5 linked regions of the Callithrix jacchus genome follow. The main gene of each other region encodes a partner of the protein of the gene in region 2 in a complex. Links are inferred from orthologs where the notes say so. Each region holds a gene or a part of one and is shown on either strand. Other genes may lie near its edges.

Region 1 (2,322 bases), about 14 Mb from region 2:
AGCCCAGCCTTGCAGCCTGGCCCTGCCAGCCGTTGGTGGCTCTCAGGCTGCTCAAGCCAGCGTACTGGGCTTTCCGAGCTGGACAGCAGCTCAGGCCGCCGCACAGGGGGTGTGGACGGCTGTGCCAGTGGAAGCGGTGACGGCACCTGTGTGGCATCAAGTGTCTGGGGCCGTGGTGAGGGGCTGGGCATGGAGCCCTTAGGTACATACAAGTTCTGCTGCCGGGCAAAGGAGCCCTCATGCCGTGAGTTCCGAGGACTGAAAGAGCAGCGAGGGGGCCCCTTGGGGTGGGGAGGCCCTGGAGTCTCGTCCACCCTGTCCAACTGCTGCAGCACTGAAGCCTTTGCCTGCAAGCAGGGCCCAGGGGGTTTACTCAGGCCTGGGGAGCTGGTGTGTGGCCGCACGGCATTGATGGGGATCTTGCCACCGTGCTTGTCGTTCTCACCACGTTCCAGGCGGCTGCCCTCCGGGCCTGCATGCCCGCTGCCATCCAGGGAGCCGGGGAAACTCTCTGGGCTCCCACTGATCCCATTGGTGGGGAGGGGGGATGAGTTGGGGACCAGGGGGTCATGGGTAGCTTTGGAGACCTTGGGTGGCGGCCCCGGGTGGCCAAGGTCACGCTGGTCACCCCGGCGCTTGCGGCTGCCCAGTCTGTCCAGCCGCTGCCCAGGCAGCCTCTGGAGGTCATTGCGGCTTTTCAGGTCGTGGATGCTCCTGGGCGGGCCGGCCGCCCCGACCTCTGGCCGGCAGTTGTGTGCGCCCCCGTTAGCAGAGCCGGTGGCCCCTGCCAGCCCCCGCAGTGCCACCTCATGCTGGTGTGCTGGCTCGATGAGCTTCTGCCAGCTCCGAAGTAGTTTCTTGGCCCGCTTGGCGAGCTCCTCGTTCTTGGTTTTCTTGCGGACGTCGTTGATGAGCTTCCCAAGCCGTGTTTCCTACAACCAGAAAGAGATGATGACATACTTTCAAGACAGGGGCTTCCCCACAAGCTGAGCCAGAAATGGTGGGAAGTGGCCCTGACTCTGAAATGACCCCATTCGCACTGAGCCCTAAACTGCCAGCTCCCCGACACAACCTCTGGGGATTTCTGGCCCTTTGTGACAATATTTTCTGAACCCAGTCCCCAGACCTTAAGGGTCACAGGTGGCTTCTTGGCAGTGCTTCCGGTGCCAGGGGGCTGTGGCCCGTCAGGTCACTGCAAGGACACTGCCAGAGAGGCTTTCTGGGTGAGAGGGTGCCGTTGCCAAGGTGACAGCACAGAGGGCCTGCTTCAAGTGGAGGGCTGGGGATGGTGCCACTCACTGGAGCCTTCCCCAAGCACACCTCTCCCGATGTCCCCCACGTGCCCACAAAGTGGGCATGCAGGATGGGATTAACATCACTCCGTCCCTGCAGTGCCCATGGGAGACCATGATCGTGGGGCACATGCTGTGACGGCACACTGCCTCTCTTGGTCCTCTGAAGCAAAGAGACTGATGTTCCCAAGGACCTGGTTTGGAGCCGCCCCCTGCCCCCCGTTCTGCCCTCCCCCATGCTGGGGTGTGGGATACTCACCTCAAGTGCCTCTTTGGTAATGGGGTATTTCTCCAGGCTGGAGATGACTTCCAGCACCGCCACCATGTTCCGGATCTGTGGAAATAAAAAGCCATTTGTTAGGTGCCTGTCCTCTCCCCCTGGGAGGCTGAGACACCCAGCCCCAGGCTGCTTGGGTCTCTCCCCAACCCCAGAGCAAGAGGAGCTGGAAGCACTGAAGCCCACACTCCAGGTAGTCTCCTACCTGCTCCCTGGGCCAACCTGGCACCCAGTGCTCATCCCCACCTGCCGTTCGACCTCCTCTAGTGCATGGTGTGTGGTCTGCCCCAAGCCCTTACACAGTGCATACCCACCCACCTACCTGCTGAAACCCAGGACTCTTAAATCAGAGCTGCTCCTGATAGTTAAGACGACCTCTACTCTGCCATATGATGGGAGTGGGAGAGGGGACACTGAAGAATTCATTGAATAAAATGCACAAAGCTTAGAAGATCAATATATAGGCCAGGAGTGGAAGCTCATACCTGTAATCCCAGCAGTTTGGGAGGCTGAGGCAGGCAGATCATGAGGTCAGGAGCTCGACACCAGCCTGGCCAACATAGTAAAACCCCGTTTCTACTAAAAATACAAAAATTAGCCAAGTGTGGTGGCACGTGCCTGTAGTCTCAGCTACTTGGGAGGCTGAGACAGAAGAATCGCTTGAACTCGGGAGGTGGAGGTTGCAGTGAGCCAAGATCGTGCCATTACACTCCAGCCTGGTGACAGAGTGAGACTCCATCTCAAAAACAAAAG
Region 2 (4,156 bases):
CCCACCGCCGCCCCGGAACAGAAAAGGCCCGTGATGCGCCACGACCACGTTTTTAAAACCAGACTAGAAGAAAATGACCCAAAATTTGAAAGCAGGCTCCTCCACAGAAGGTGAAAGGTGGCTTTTCTCACCCTGGTTTGATTCTAATTTCCTGTGGTTTTCTAATCTTCTCTATTGAGCACATATTACAGGTGCATATACTGGAGCAATAGAGAGAAAATGAGTGCAGCCACCACGTACCTTTCTTTTTTTTTTGAGACGGAGTTTCGCTCTTATTACCCAGGCAGGAGTGCAATGGTGCGATCTCGGCTCACCGCAACCTCCGCCTCCTGGGTTCAGGCAATTCTCCTGCCTCAGCCTCCCGAGCAGCTGGGATTACAGGCACATGCCACCGTGCCCAGCTAATTTTTGTATCTTTAGTAGAGACGGGGTTTCACCATGTTGACCAGGATGGTCTCGATCTCTTGACCTTGTGATCCACCCGCCTCGGCCTCCCAAAGTGCTGGGATTACAGGCATGAGCCACCACGCCCGGCCACCAGGTGCCTTTCAAAAACCAAACAGTGACCCACACCATCTGGAAACCTGGGGCAGGTGTCCCTAACATGCCTGCGTCAACCACCACCCCAGCCCCGTTCGATCCCACAGAGTGGGGACCTCACGTCTCCCGGCACCAGGTGTGGGGAGCACTGAATCCACCCTCTGCACCTCCAGGAGGCTGAGGCTCTCACCCACGTTAGAGAGTGAGGGGTGTCCTGCAAGACTGGATCCCCGCAAGGCAGGGTGCCGGGTACCTGGGGAAAAGGGTGGGACGCCACGTGGGCGGGAGGGGGCGCACCCTGGTCGTCGCTGCGCAGGTCCATGGTGAAGGCGATGAGGTTTCGGCAGGACCAGGCGCAGGCCAGGGGCACCGACGGGCAGTGCGTGCTCTTGGACCATTTCTCCCACTCACAGACGTAGGCCAAGTCCATCATCCCACCTGCTGCCGGCCGCCGCAAGTCACACATGAGGGCAGTCACCAGCTCCTGCGGGAGGGAGGTCTGGCTGGTCGTCTGTGTGGACTGAGCTTCCAGGGCACGTGGAGTGCCAGGCCGGATACGGGAAAACCACAGGCAGGCAGTCGAAGGAACGGCAGGTGCAAAGGCCCGGAGGCCAGAAAGAGCCTGGGGCGTTCCCGGCAGCCCACGGGGCTGGGGCTGAAGGGGGTGTGGAGAGGTCAGGGCCTGTGGGCTTTTACCCTGAGCGGGGTGGGAGCCCAGGAGGGCTGGGACTTACTTGGATTTCACCAGGGCCCCTCTGGCTATCTGGGTAACAGATCGGGGCGGGGGGGGGGGGCCAAGGGCACAGCCGAAGAAGCGGCGGAGGGTCTGCACTGGCCCAGGTGAGTGATGATGGCGGCAGCAGGAGGACGCTGGGTCTCTTTTGAAGGAAGGGCCTACAAACAGGCATATGGTGGGGCTGCCTGTGGCCAAGGCGGGCAGGCGTTCTGGGGCGAAGGGGCTTGGTGAGTGTGACAGGCAACAGAGGGAGCATTTCCTAGGGGCTTGCTTTTTTTTGAGACGGAGTCTCGCTCTTGTTACCCAGGCTGGAGTGCAATGGCGCGATCTCGGCTCACCGCAACCTCCGCCTCCTGGGTTCAAGCAATTCTCCTGCCTCAGCCTCCCGAGTAGCTGGGATCACAGGCACGCGCCACCATGCCCAGCTAATTTTTGTATCTTTAGTAGAGACGGGGTTTCACCACGTTGACCGGGATGGTCTCGATCTCTTGACCTCGTGATCCACCCGCCTCGGCCTCCCAGAGTGCTGGGATTACAGGCGCCCGGCCCTGTTTCCTTCGGGCTTTCTAAGCGCCCAGCATCTGGACAGACTGTTTCTGCTTCACAAAGGCAAAAACCCAGTGAGGCTGGAAGGACCACCAGGCGGTTTTCCTCAAACCCTATCCGGGGCTGCCTACTTCAGGGTCTGCCCCAGACCCCCAGGGCTCCGCCAGACACCCCTTAAAGTCAGCCCCTGACACCTCTTGCTTCCCCCACTTCAAACCACCCCTGGGGCCCATGGCCTCAGCCTAAATTCTCAGGCTTCACCCTAGGGGTCCCATGTTGGCTGACCTCCCCAGGTCCAGCCTCCGACAGCCTTGGCTCTCCAGGCCCCACCCCTAAAACTCCCCAGTCCCCAGGTTCCCCTCCAGGAACCCCATGTAGTCTCCAGGCCCTTTCCCTATTGCCCCCAAACAGCAGGCTTCATCCCAGGGACCCCATGGCGTCTACAGGCTCCGCCCCTATGACCTCCAATCTCCACGGTCCACCCCAGGGAACCCAACTCTCCAGGTTTCATCCATATAGCTATCCAGTTCCCAGGCTCCATGCCGGGGCCCCCAAACCCACAAGCCCCGCCCCCTAAGTCCCACCAAGCGCCTTCAGCCCCGCCCAAAACTCCCTTCAGACCCCGCCCCTAGCCCCGCCCCGCCCCGCGGGCCTCCGGCTGCTTCGGAGTTTCCGCCGCAAGCTGCAGACCCTGGGGCCGAAAGCCGCCTACCCAGCAGCCTTTGCTTCCGGACACGCCCCCTAACCCTGCAGGCCCCGCCTCCGCCGCGCCGCGTTCCCTGGGGCAGCAGACGCCACCGGGAATCCGTCCCGCCCCCGGCCGGCCCCCGCAGCCCCGCGCTCACCTGGCCGGCCGGTGCGCCAAGACCAGCGGGCGTCCGCGGCGCGAAATTTCCCTAATGCCTCGGCTCCGGCGCCGCCATCTTCCCTGGGACCAACGAGTTGCCTGGCCCGCGCCGCCGCCTCCCAAAGACTTCTGGGACGGCGGCGCGGCCTAGGCTCCGCCCCGCTTCCGGGTATATTTGCATGCGAGCATTTCCAGTGATTCCCAAAAGCCACCGTAACTATATTTGGTGGAATAAGCACTTTCCCAGCTCCAGTTAATAACTGCGTTGGTTGGATTACACGTCAGACCACGGAAATACAGGTTGGGCGTCTATAGCATTTAACAAAAGTCACCCTATGTGTAGAGGAGTTGACTATAGAGGCTATAAATAGGTCCCGGTGCGGCAGCTCAATCGTGCTCGCTTCGGCAGCACATATACTAAAATTGGAACGATACAGAGAAGATTAGCATGGCCCCTGCGCAAGGATGACACGCAAATTCGTGAAGCGTTCCATATTTTTGCTTCCCTTCCGCGAGCCCGCAATGACGTCACAGGGCCCCTCCCTTCCGCGAGCCCGCAATGACGTCACAGGGCCCCTCCCTTCCGCCATCCTGCAATGACGTCACTGGTGCGGTGACGCCATCGCCTTCCCCTTTTCGTTTCCTGTTGCACCACTAAGGTCGGCGACTGGAGAACAATCTGGCCGTCCCCACTTAGTTGTGGCGCCCCGCCACCTGCCCCTGTGGCCCTCGAGCTACCGTAAATAAGTAAGTAAACGCTCCGCAGGAGCACATATTGAGCGCCTGCTGCATACACAGGAGAACACTATGGTTTTGATTTTATGTTTTTTTAATTTAATTTAAATTTTTTTTTTTTTTGAGACGGGAGTTTCGCTCTTGTTACCCAGGCTGGAGTGCAATGGCGCGATCTCGGCTCACCGCAACCTCCGCCTCCCGGGTTCAGGCAATTCTCCTGCCTCAGCCTCCCGAGTAGCTGGGATTACAGGCACGCGCCACCATGCCCAGCTAATTTTTTGTATTTTTAGTAGAGACGGGGTTTCACCATGTTGACCAGGATGGTCTCGATCTCTTGACCTCGTGATCCACCCGCCTCGGCCTCCCAGAGTGCTGGGATTACAGGCGTCAGCCACCGCGCCCGGCCATTTCTTCCGTTTTCTAGTCTCCAAGATTGGAGAAACTGAGGCTCCTTTATCTGAAGTCACCAGTCCCGCTGAGGAATGTTCCTACCTCCAACCCCATTTCCACCTCCACCTCCACGAGCCAGTTTAATGCAATGCATGTTGTGCTTTTCTTTTTATTTATTTATTTTTTTATTTTTAACCTCATCTCTACTAAAAATGCAAAAATTAGCTGGGCGTTATTTATTTTTCACACAGGGTCTCACTCTGTCGCCCAGGCTGGAGTGCAATGGCACACTCTCGGCTCACCGCAACCTCCATTGTCCGGGTTCAAGCAATTTTCCTGCCTCAGCCTGCCAAGTGGCTGGA
Region 3 (3,500 bases), on a different chromosome or scaffold from region 2:
TAGATTATTACTAGCATATACAAGTCAATTTTTCAGAAAACAATTCTGAAGCAAAAGGAGCTTTCTGATGAACTTACTTTGCAAATTGTTCTAATGAATGAGGTATATACCTCATCTGTTAATGAGATTGAAAAAAATGAAATATGTCAAATTTCTTTAAGAAATTATTACACTTACTTTGGAATGAGAGAAAGTTGTCCAATGCTAGAATGGTGCCACACAGCATGTGCGAGAGCTAATGTATAGCTACAGCTCATCTCAGAGTAGGACTGATGACAGGCAGTGAAATCAAAGAGGCGGAATGGATAGCCAACCCACTCTGTTTCAGATGTCAAGCTGGGGCTGCTGATAACACTCACAATTCGATCATGAAGAACAATCCAGTATGGCTCCTTTAAAATTGGAGGAAAGCTAGTGAAAAAATCACTTATCTAGCATTCTATCACAAAGACTAAAATAATAGTGTTTTCTCAGTCTTTAAAGTTTTCTACTTTTCCAGCTTCTGCTGGAAATCTGTTGGATGACTTTGTAACTGGGCAAATTAAGTCAGTAACAACCTGGGAGAAGTGCCTGTGAGTTAGGGGGCTCCATACATTTATCTGTCCAGCTCATTTAGGTACCTGATATATACTATGCAGTAAATCAATTAACTTACCAAACAATAAATCAATAGTTTTATTGCTTATTTTATAATAATAAACTTTTTTTTAGATATGTGTGGAGGTCAGAGAAGGGAGTCTTCATGTGGGCTGGAAAAGTCAGGTAAGGCTTCATTCACTAAGAAAGGAGGCTCTAAGCTAGCAAAGAATAAATAGGCTTTAGAGAAGGTGATGGAAAGAAGAAGGTTCTGGAATAAAAATAATGTCTTATTCACTCACATTCGGAAGTACCTAAAACATGTCTTAATAAGTACCATCTGCAAGAACAAAGGCTGTAGATACACAACATATTAAGTGGCCAAGAGTAGATCAGGTTATAATGTAAAAACTAAAGTTGGATAGGTAAGGTGGTACCAGAAAATGCAGAGACATGTAAGTTATGCAGAGGTATTTAGATCTAATACAGAAAGGCAAAAACTAGTCACTGTAAATTTTTAAAGCAGTAATAATATGAAAAACTTTAAAAACATAAAATACTTCATTAATTTGTTTGACGTCCTTGTACCAGGGCATCCTATATGCATCTTTTTCTTTTTGCTGACATGGAACAAGGGGCTGTATTTCATCAGTAAGTACAAATCACAATTATTAACTCACTGGTAAGGCAGTGATGATCAAACCAATTGCATTCATCCATGCTGTAATGTTCTCTCTTGGCACTAAAGGCTGACTGCAACCAGCAAAAAAGAACACAAGTATGAAATTATAAAAACATTTTAGATGGTTGACAATGGATCTTAGTTTTAAAGAATATGTATAATTCAGAGGATTGAAAACTAATCAATTTCAATAAAACAATGGGGAATTTTTTATTGAATAAAAATGTAATATACATAGAAACTCAATAAGGCTCTTTAAAAATACTTCTTCCCCAATCATTATCCAATATTTTGTGCTAGTTTTTAAGAGATTCTTGAAATCTTGAAAACAAGATTAAGAGAATCTTGTTTTAAGTGACAAGTTAACATTAATCCTAAACTAAATGTCAAACTGCTATTAATGAGTAGAAGTAGGAACAAACCCAGATCTTAATGATCCTATCCAGGGCTCATTCCATAACTCCTATATCACAAAGACAAGATCTGGAACCAGAAAACAGTCATCATCCAATGTTCAACAGCCTTGTGGCAACAGGTCTGTCTTAAAGGTCCAAATAAAACACCATTCTGTTTACAAATAAACAACAAATCTTACTGCATGAACCAGAATACATACCTTTTCAGGACAACATTTAGAAGGGCATTCCCGACCTCTTTGCCTGAAACTGCCAAGGCCATGAGCTCCACACATGTAACATGGAGAGCGTGGGCAGCTGGGTTGGGAAACTCATTGAATCTCCAGTCACAGTTTGGAAAGGGACCAGGAGATTTGCCAGCCATTGGTGCACACAGTTAAAGCAATAACACTGACATGATTGAAATGTATTAAGAGCAATCATTTAATTAACCACAAGTATAAATGGTTGGTCTTACAGGTGGGTTCTTATAAATGTGATGTATAATAGCCACAGATGCAATCAAGGTATACCTAGACTTCATGAGCCTATTTCTTCTAAAAGTTATAAGACATTAATATGAACATTATTTTATAATGAGCTCTTCTTTTGCTTCAGAAAATAAATTCCTTTATGTAGGAAAACAAGTCACACTCATTTACGTAGAATTTCTCTACATAGTAAAATGGTGGTATGAAGTATAGATGCTAATAAATGAAAACATAAAATCAAAATGAAGAAACATACAAGTATATTTTCACTAAAATATCCCTTTTCACTAAAAAAAGAAAAATGTTTTATCGTTTATTATTTAATAAAAACATACTTTTTTAAAGTAACAAGATGCTACATTCTCCAGTAGCACACAGATGCATGTGCTACAAAATAGAGTTCATTTAAGAATAAATTTTTTTCTTTGAAACAAATCTCCATAAAGTCTATTTTTAAATATAATTTTTAACCACTTATCCTCAAGTTCTAAAATATAAATTTTAAAAGAATTTCAGCCTATCTGGCATGATGCTGCTAATTTAAGATTTCAAACCTTTAGAGAGATAAAAAGGGAAGTGATCTTAAAAAAAAAAGTAAAACCTTGGAATATATAAAAAATTACCTTAAAAAGAAAAATACGTTCTCATAAATCAAAATACTGTTATTTCTGGAGAGTCTGTAAAATCAGAGTAGAAAGGATATTATCGACTAGTCTGCCAATCAATCTGCAATAGTAGGTGTCATCTGGAACCCATGGATTTTCCTCTCGTGCATTCATAGCACACTTCAGGTAAGTGTCACTTAGACACCAGCCCTGTGGTCTATTATCCTTGAGAGAGCCGATGATAGCATGGACGAGTTTTCGTTTGAGAAATGCGCGGTCTCTCAGGTGCATTTCATAATAGTGCAGAGTATTATACAGGTAAGTCACTGGACGATCTGCCAAGAAAAAAAATATCACCACACGTTTAACTGGTTACTGATAACTGTGAAAAACTAATCCACTGCTTTCAAGATAACTGAAAAACAGCTCAGAAGATTATGAAACAATTTCACAGCTGGACAATTGTATACTATGGATATTTTAACCTGAGTAGAGGCAGAAGGCTCAGAATGCTTCTAGTAATATGCAGTTTGTATTTGCATTTGTTTTTATTTAAGTGGAAGCAACTCCATTTCTGAAAATGTATTCTGCATAAATTTTCATCCCTTGACATACAACAAGGGATGTTCTTTACGCTACCATAAATGAAAAACAGCCTAAAAAGTCAAAAACAGGGAACTAATAAAATAAATTATGGCATGTATTGATACAAATGGCCAACCCTAATATATGATAAAGTTGAAACAAACAG
Region 4 (2,817 bases), on a different chromosome or scaffold from region 2:
CACAGTGGTTCATGCCTATAATACCAGCACTTGGGGAAGCTGAGGCGGGCAGACCACTTGAGGTCAGGAGTTCGAGACCAGCCTGGCCAACATGGTGAAACCCTGTTTCTACTAAAAAAAAAATTAGCCAGGCATGTTGGCGCATGCATGTGATCCCAGCTACTTGGAAGGCTGAGGTGGGAGAAATGCTTAAACCTGGGAGGCGGAGGTTGCAGTGAGCCAAGATCGCACCTCTGTACTCCAGCCTGGTGACAGAGCAAACTCTATCACAATAACAAAAAAAATTCCTTCCTTTTAGGCAAGGTATCATACTCAGTATCATGAGGAAGAATAAAGATGTTGGTAACAAAAATTAGGCAGTGGTAGCTAGAAAAATCTCCTGGTTCTTGACAAGACCCTTAAGTCACTGGGTCATATTTGGCCCCGTTAGCATGGTTGTAGCTGAGCTGTGAGGTAGTGTTTTCCTGGCTATGCTATATAATTTGTCACTAGTACATTTTGTGAGAAGCACTCAGAACAGCATTTACCGTGAAGTAAGCATCATGTAAGTCAACTCTAATCTAAGGAGAGTGGAATGTCTCCTTCATTGGGTGAGCAGTTTCTGTCTCTGCCCTATTGGATTTTTGCCTATTTTTCCCCCTTTCCATTGGACCCTACCACTGTGTTGTATTTTTTCATATTTATGATTTATTTACTTCTGCTGTTTCTCTAAATTTTAAAATGTTCACCTAAAATATTCTTTAGGTTAATATATAGTCCTTCGCTCTCTGGGCCTACTTTGGGGACTGATTTTTTTTATTTTTATTCTGTGTTGTCTAGGTAGCACAGAGCTCACAGGCAGCACGAATCTGATCACACATTACAACTTGGAACAAGCCTATAATAAATTCTGTGGGAAGAAGGTGAAGGAGAAGCTTAGTAACTTCCTGCCTGACCTGCCAGGGATGATTGATCTGCCTGGTTCCCATGATAACAGCAGCCTCCGCTCCCTCATTGAGAAGCCCCCTATTCTCAGCAGCTCTTTTAATCCTATCACAGGGACCATGCTGGCCGGCTTCCGCCTCCACACTGGCCCGGTAAGTCCCCTTGGAAGGAGGAAGGCGAATGGGGAGGCCTAAACATGGAGATGGTTTTTCTGTCCCAGTCTGTTCCTTCATGATGGAGCAGAACAGATGATGGGAACAGGGGATTTCCTTCCTCTTCTCACCTGGACCTTCCTTTGGTTCCTTCAGTTGCCAGAGCAGTGTCGTCTGATGCATATTCAGCCTCCCAAGAAGAAGAATAAGCACAAGCACAAACAGAGCCGTACCCAGGATCCTGTACCCCCAGGTAAGAAGCAGTTCTACTCAAAGCTAAAAAAAAAACCCTGACCTTCTGAATCTGGTTTGACCTTCCATAGGTAAACCCAGTTAAGTTCATACGGAGCTCTGGACTCCTAAATTCCCCTGAAGAAGAAACCAGTGTACTGGGGTCTCTTGGGACTTATCACAGGGACTCTAGCAGCACTTCTGTATCCTTTCTGACCATTTGGACAAAAGCACTTGCCCCTGACTTGGGATTTTCCTGTCTGCAGTCTTCCCAACAGGAGAGGATTTTGAGCTCTACAGGTGATAGGTACCTAATGTCTCCTACAGAAACACCATCTGATTCGGATCACAAGAAGAAGAAAAAGAAAAAAGAAGAGGATCCTGAAAGGAAAAGGAAGAAGAAAGAGAAGAAGAAAAAGAAGGTAGAGTAGAGGCCTATTGCCACAACTCAGTGAGTTTCCCCATATCTCACCTCTGTCCTAAATAGAGTTCTTTGCCTCCAGATGGATCCAAGATTGAAAACCCAGGGCAGGTTGCAGGTTTCTCCTGTACAGCCTGATCAAAGCCAAGGCTAGTTCCTAGTTGTTCTTACCTCTCCTCCTTTCTCCCCCAGAACCGACATAGTCCAGACCACCCCGGTATGGGTAGTTCCCAGGCCAGCAGCAGCAGCAGCCTACGCTAACAGGACCACTGGACTCTTTGCCAGGATGGCCTTTCCTGCTATATTGAACCCGCTGACAAAAGCTGCCTTCCAGCCTCTTTGGACACTGCCTTGGGAGCATCCTGCAGCTGGGACAGAGGCCAGCTCTGTTGGGCTCAGTTGAGATTAAGTAATTATGAGAGAGAGAGGGACATGCTTTTGTAGGCTCATCCCTGTTGGCTTTCTCATGGATATCTCTTCCTCTTCCAGGAAGCTTACGATTTTCTTCTCTCTCTTTTGTGCAATTTGTCTGATTTAGGACTTGTGCGTTTTTTCTTAAAAAAAAAAAATTACATTTATCAAACTGGCTGAAGTGTGACTGCCTAAGAGGTATGTGGCTGTCTGAGTCAGGATTTAAGAAAAGGCTTTGCTAAGTCTTGAGGGGATCTGGGTCATGTCATTACATTATCTCACTAACAGGCAGGGAAACAATCAAAATGAAAAGTGAGCCAAGCTTACTAATACTCCACAGCAGACACATAACACTCCGCCCGTTATGTTGAGAACTAAGCACCTAGGTGATCACAGGCTCTATCTGAAGAGCTGATCCAGGTAGGGCTCAACAGTGTGTTCTAGGTCAATTTTGTGTTGAAACAGAAAAGCCAACCAAAAACACATGGACAGTCACCAGTGTATTTCAACAAGATTGGTTCCTAGATCAGAAGCCTGTGATATTTTGAAATGAACTTCTGGCAAGCAAAGGTAAATGCTTCTCTTCTCTTTACAAGAACTTTTGACCTGCTTCATTCCTTAGTTAAGACACTGAAGTTAAGGATCAAAGAGAGAGAGAAAAAAAAGACACTAAAGTTA
Region 5 (3,500 bases), on a different chromosome or scaffold from region 2:
TCTGCCCACCTTGGCCTCCCAAAGTGCGAGGATTATAGGCATGAACCACTGCGCTTGGCTGATTTTAACGTATTTTTAAAAACTATTTACTAGTGAGTTGTTTTCTTAGTGGGGGTGATTAATTTATCCTGAACTGTGCAGGCTTCTAGTTACTAGAGCTCATTTTGACACAATTGTTAAGAGATTCATCCGAGGTAAGGATACCAGCAATGTCTGGTTGACATGAGAATCAAGCTCAGCTATTTCTGCAAAACCACCATATTATATTAGTTAGCATTTAGTTAAGTAACTGGACAAATAATAGCAAATAAATTGCCTCTTTGAAATAGTAGCCAAAACAACAAAGGAAAAACTAGGATCCTTGATACAGGTCCAAATCCTACCTAGATAAGGATGAAAGACTAAATTAATGTAAATTTTAACCATTTTATAAAATGTGTATATATTTTTACTGATTTCAAAATATATAAAAAATGAAAAATTTCCCTGATTTTTATCCTAAGGATCAGAGACCAGAAAAAAAAAGAGATTTAGACTACTGATAATTAAAACTTAAACCAGGATAAAAGTAAAACTTTCCATTTCTATAATTCAAAACTGTAAAATCCTTAAGTAATGGAAATGTGGCTCAAAAGTAATGCAGACTATCTGAAAACAGTAAGTAAAAAAGAGAGTGACAATAGCCTTTCATTTAACCACTGGCAATGGTTAGTGACAAGATGGACAACATGTCATTTTTAGACCTGGAAAGTCTAGTTTTCTGCTCTTCAAAATACTGATTACAGATTTTTCAGAAATAGATTAAATAATACCGTGTTTCACCTTAAGAATCAACCTTTGTCAACTTACCAGTATTTGTTCTGCTTCCTTTAGCTGTTTTTGTAGTTGCTGAATATCACTGTCTCTCTTCTCTACTTCTTTTTCCAAAACTTGCATTTCATGATGAATTTTTCCCTGATTAACTGCCAATTTCATTAGTTCTTGAAATTCCCCATCTCGGTGAATTAACAATTCTAGGACCTGTCAGATAACAGTCAATTAAATCAGACAACAGAATACTGAAAGGCTGCATTCCAATAAAACAAAGAATCCATACCTGAATTGGCTAGACTATAAAATTTCAACACTTTCAAAATATTATTCCTTATTCTTGTTAAGAATAAAAATAGCCTACCTATGATTATTTTGGGAAACATTAATATCAAACTTCTCTACTTTTTCAGCTGTTCATACAAAATAAAATAAAACTAGTCTTTCAAAACTAGCAATATGCCAGCATGATCAGGTTTACTGATTTCCTAGGGAAGATAAAATTTAAGAGTTTAATCTTATGGCCGGGCACAGTGACTCCTGCCTGTAATCCCAGTACTTTGGGAGGCTGAAGTAGGAGGATCACTTGAGGTCAGGAATTTGAGACTAGCCTGGCCAGTATGGTGAAACCCCATCTCTACTAAAAATACAAAAATTAGTTGGGTGTGGTGGCAGGGCACCTATAATCCCAGAATTGAAGGAACTTGGGAGGTAGAGGTTGCAGTAAGCCAAAATCACACCACTGAAGTCCAGCCTGGTAACAGAGTGAGACTCCATCTTAAAAAAAAAAAAAGGTTTATCTTTAAAAATACAATATAGACTAGGTGCGGTAGCTCACACCTATAATCCCAGCACTTTGGGAGGCCGAGGCAGGCGAATCACCTGAGGCCAATAGTTTGAGACCAGCCTGACCAACATGAGAAACCCCATCTCTACTAAAAATACAAAATTAGTCGGGCATGCTTGCACATGCCTGTAATCTCAGCTACTCAGAAGGCTGAGGAAGGAGAATTGCTTGAACCCAGGAGGCGGAGGTTGTGGTGAGCCGAGATCTCGCCATTGCACCCCAGCCTAGGAAACAAGAGTGAAACTCCACCTCTACAACAAAACAAAACAAAAAAACAGTATAATGAAGATTCTTCCAAAATTTGGCACTTGAGATGATTTTACGTGGCACCAAGAACGTAAAAAACATTTAGTTACGCATTTGTGCTAATACATGTTAGAATAAATGTAACTGAGACATTGAAACTGTGATTTTATGCGCAGTACTGCCTATGATGAAGATGATCTTAAAAATACAGTTATTTCAAAAAACAGCAAATAAATAGGTGGTATGCAGATATGGCAAAAACTCATGAAGGCTAAAACATATCAAATAGAACATCTGGCAGTTCATCTCTCTAGTCCTCCATTTGCTAACTGCGTGACATAGGGAAAGTTACCAGCCTCTTTGAGCCTGTGTTCTCATTAGGAAAAGGTATATAATAATATTACATAAAGCTATTGTGAGGATTCATTATATAATGCATTTTAAGTACATACGTGAAGAGTTCAACAAAAGCTCGTTATTACGATCACCATCCCAGTACAGAATTAAGATGCAAGTCTGGCCTAAATACCCTTACTTTACTGTGCTAAGTAGAGAATAATACTTCAGAAATAAAATAGCTATCAAAATTCAAAATCAATTTTAAAACTCTTTAAAAACATTTGTTAAAGACTAAAAAATACAGGTATGCCTCTTCAAGTTCCTTTTTACATGAAGTTCCTCTCATTTTTATAGGAATTCTCCTAATACAACAGACAAAGACTGAGCTGCAAACTGCCAGATATTAAGAGTATTTTAGATAACAACGAAAGCTTCTTCTGTAAAAAGTATATTGTATTTGTTTATTAGACCTCTAATCCTCAATTCCTCCCACATCATAGGAGGAGAAAGCTAGGTTTCCATTTCTATAAAAGCTACATTATTAAAGCAAGTAGTACACATTAGTTCCATGACAACTTTTAAAAAGTTTATATAGTTTGAACTAATTTGTTTACTACCCAAGAGTAAAAAAGATTCTCTTCAGATCTTATTATTCAGTAGGGAAAAATTACTCAACTAGAGTCAGGAGACTTAGGTTCTTTCTGGTTCCACTCACCATTAACCTCTAGTTCATCTGTCCACCCTGGAGCTCAGTCTCACAGAAGGATGAACTGAACATCGTTAAGATCCTAATTCTAAAATTCTACATAAATTTATAAATATCCAAATAAAATGGTGGTTAGAAAATTTTCAGATGGGCACATCCCTCTCTAATATTAACAGTTTCAATCAAAATTACATAGGAATCCACAGTACTAAGTACAAGATACAATTCACAAAATTGCTACTCTTTAAAAAGTACAAGAAAGATCAGTGCTGATTACAGGTCTTAATTATCACCTTCTGAATAATCTGTGTGCCTGGCTCACAGCAAGCATTTAATAAGTGTCTATGAAATATAGTCAAGCTTTATATTTTCCTTCTTGCATATTTTGTAATAAATTCCTATTCAATCCCACAGGTATTAATGGAGTACCCGAGAGACTAGTAGTCTTTTATTAACAAATTTATCTCTAGCCTCTTTCTTTTAAAAAAAACAAAACAAAACAAAAACCTTACTACCCCTAAGGTTAGCTGTTTTTCCTAGTTTGTGGCCTCA

What was found. The genes of interacting proteins can lie anywhere in the genome.
Region 1: MED16 (region 2) and MED26 share a complex: the UniProt entries of both Homo sapiens proteins name them as parts of the mediator complex. The link is inferred for Callithrix jacchus from reciprocal best matches to the Homo sapiens genes MED16 and MED26.
Region 3: MED16 (region 2) and MED23 share a complex: the UniProt entries of both Homo sapiens proteins name them as parts of the mediator complex. The link is inferred for Callithrix jacchus from reciprocal best matches to the Homo sapiens genes MED16 and MED23.
Region 4: MED16 (region 2) and MED19 share a complex: the UniProt entries of both Homo sapiens proteins name them as parts of the mediator complex. The link is inferred for Callithrix jacchus from reciprocal best matches to the Homo sapiens genes MED16 and MED19.
Region 5: MED16 (region 2) and MED4 share a complex: the UniProt entries of both Homo sapiens proteins name them as parts of the mediator complex. The link is inferred for Callithrix jacchus from reciprocal best matches to the Homo sapiens genes MED16 and MED4.

What each region holds. Positions count from the first base shown.
Region 1 is NC_133523.1:15,193,626-15,195,947, forward strand, and holds part of MED26 (mediator of RNA polymerase II transcription subunit 26), read right to left. Parts: intron 1,627-2,322; coding exon 1,552-1,626; intron 933-1,551; coding exon 1-932. UniProt on the Homo sapiens protein: Component of the Mediator complex, a coactivator involved in the regulated transcription of nearly all RNA polymerase II-dependent genes.
Region 2 is NC_133523.1:834,341-838,496, forward strand, and holds the start of MED16 (mediator of RNA polymerase II transcription subunit 16), read right to left. Parts: upstream 2,801-4,156; 5' UTR 2,668-2,800; intron 1,435-2,667; 5' UTR 1,275-1,434; intron 1,025-1,274; 5' UTR 1,007-1,024; coding exon 838-1,006; coding exon of another isoform or gene 794-837; intron 1-793. UniProt on the Homo sapiens protein: Component of the Mediator complex, a coactivator involved in the regulated transcription of nearly all RNA polymerase II-dependent genes.
Region 3 is NC_133505.1:138,232,474-138,235,973, forward strand, and holds part of MED23 (mediator of RNA polymerase II transcription subunit 23), read right to left. Parts: intron 3,085-3,500; coding exon 2,848-3,084; intron 2,041-2,847; coding exon 1,875-2,040; intron 1,330-1,874; coding exon 1,257-1,329; intron 393-1,256; coding exon 178-392; intron 1-177. UniProt on the Homo sapiens protein: Required for transcriptional activation subsequent to the assembly of the pre-initiation complex. Component of the Mediator complex, a coactivator involved in the regulated transcription of nearly all RNA polymerase II-dependent genes.
Region 4 is NC_133511.1:115,283,945-115,286,761, reverse strand, and holds the end of MED19 (mediator of RNA polymerase II transcription subunit 19), read left to right. Parts: intron 1-819; coding exon 820-1,076; intron 1,077-1,232; coding exon 1,233-1,329; intron 1,330-1,634; coding exon 1,635-1,729; intron 1,730-1,920; coding exon 1,921-1,989; 3' UTR 1,990-2,317; downstream 2,318-2,817. UniProt on the Homo sapiens protein: Component of the Mediator complex, a coactivator involved in the regulated transcription of nearly all RNA polymerase II-dependent genes.
Region 5 is NC_133502.1:67,851,117-67,854,616, reverse strand, and holds part of MED4 (mediator of RNA polymerase II transcription subunit 4), read right to left. Parts: intron 1,021-3,500; coding exon 850-1,020; intron 1-849. UniProt on the Homo sapiens protein: Component of the Mediator complex, a coactivator involved in the regulated transcription of nearly all RNA polymerase II-dependent genes.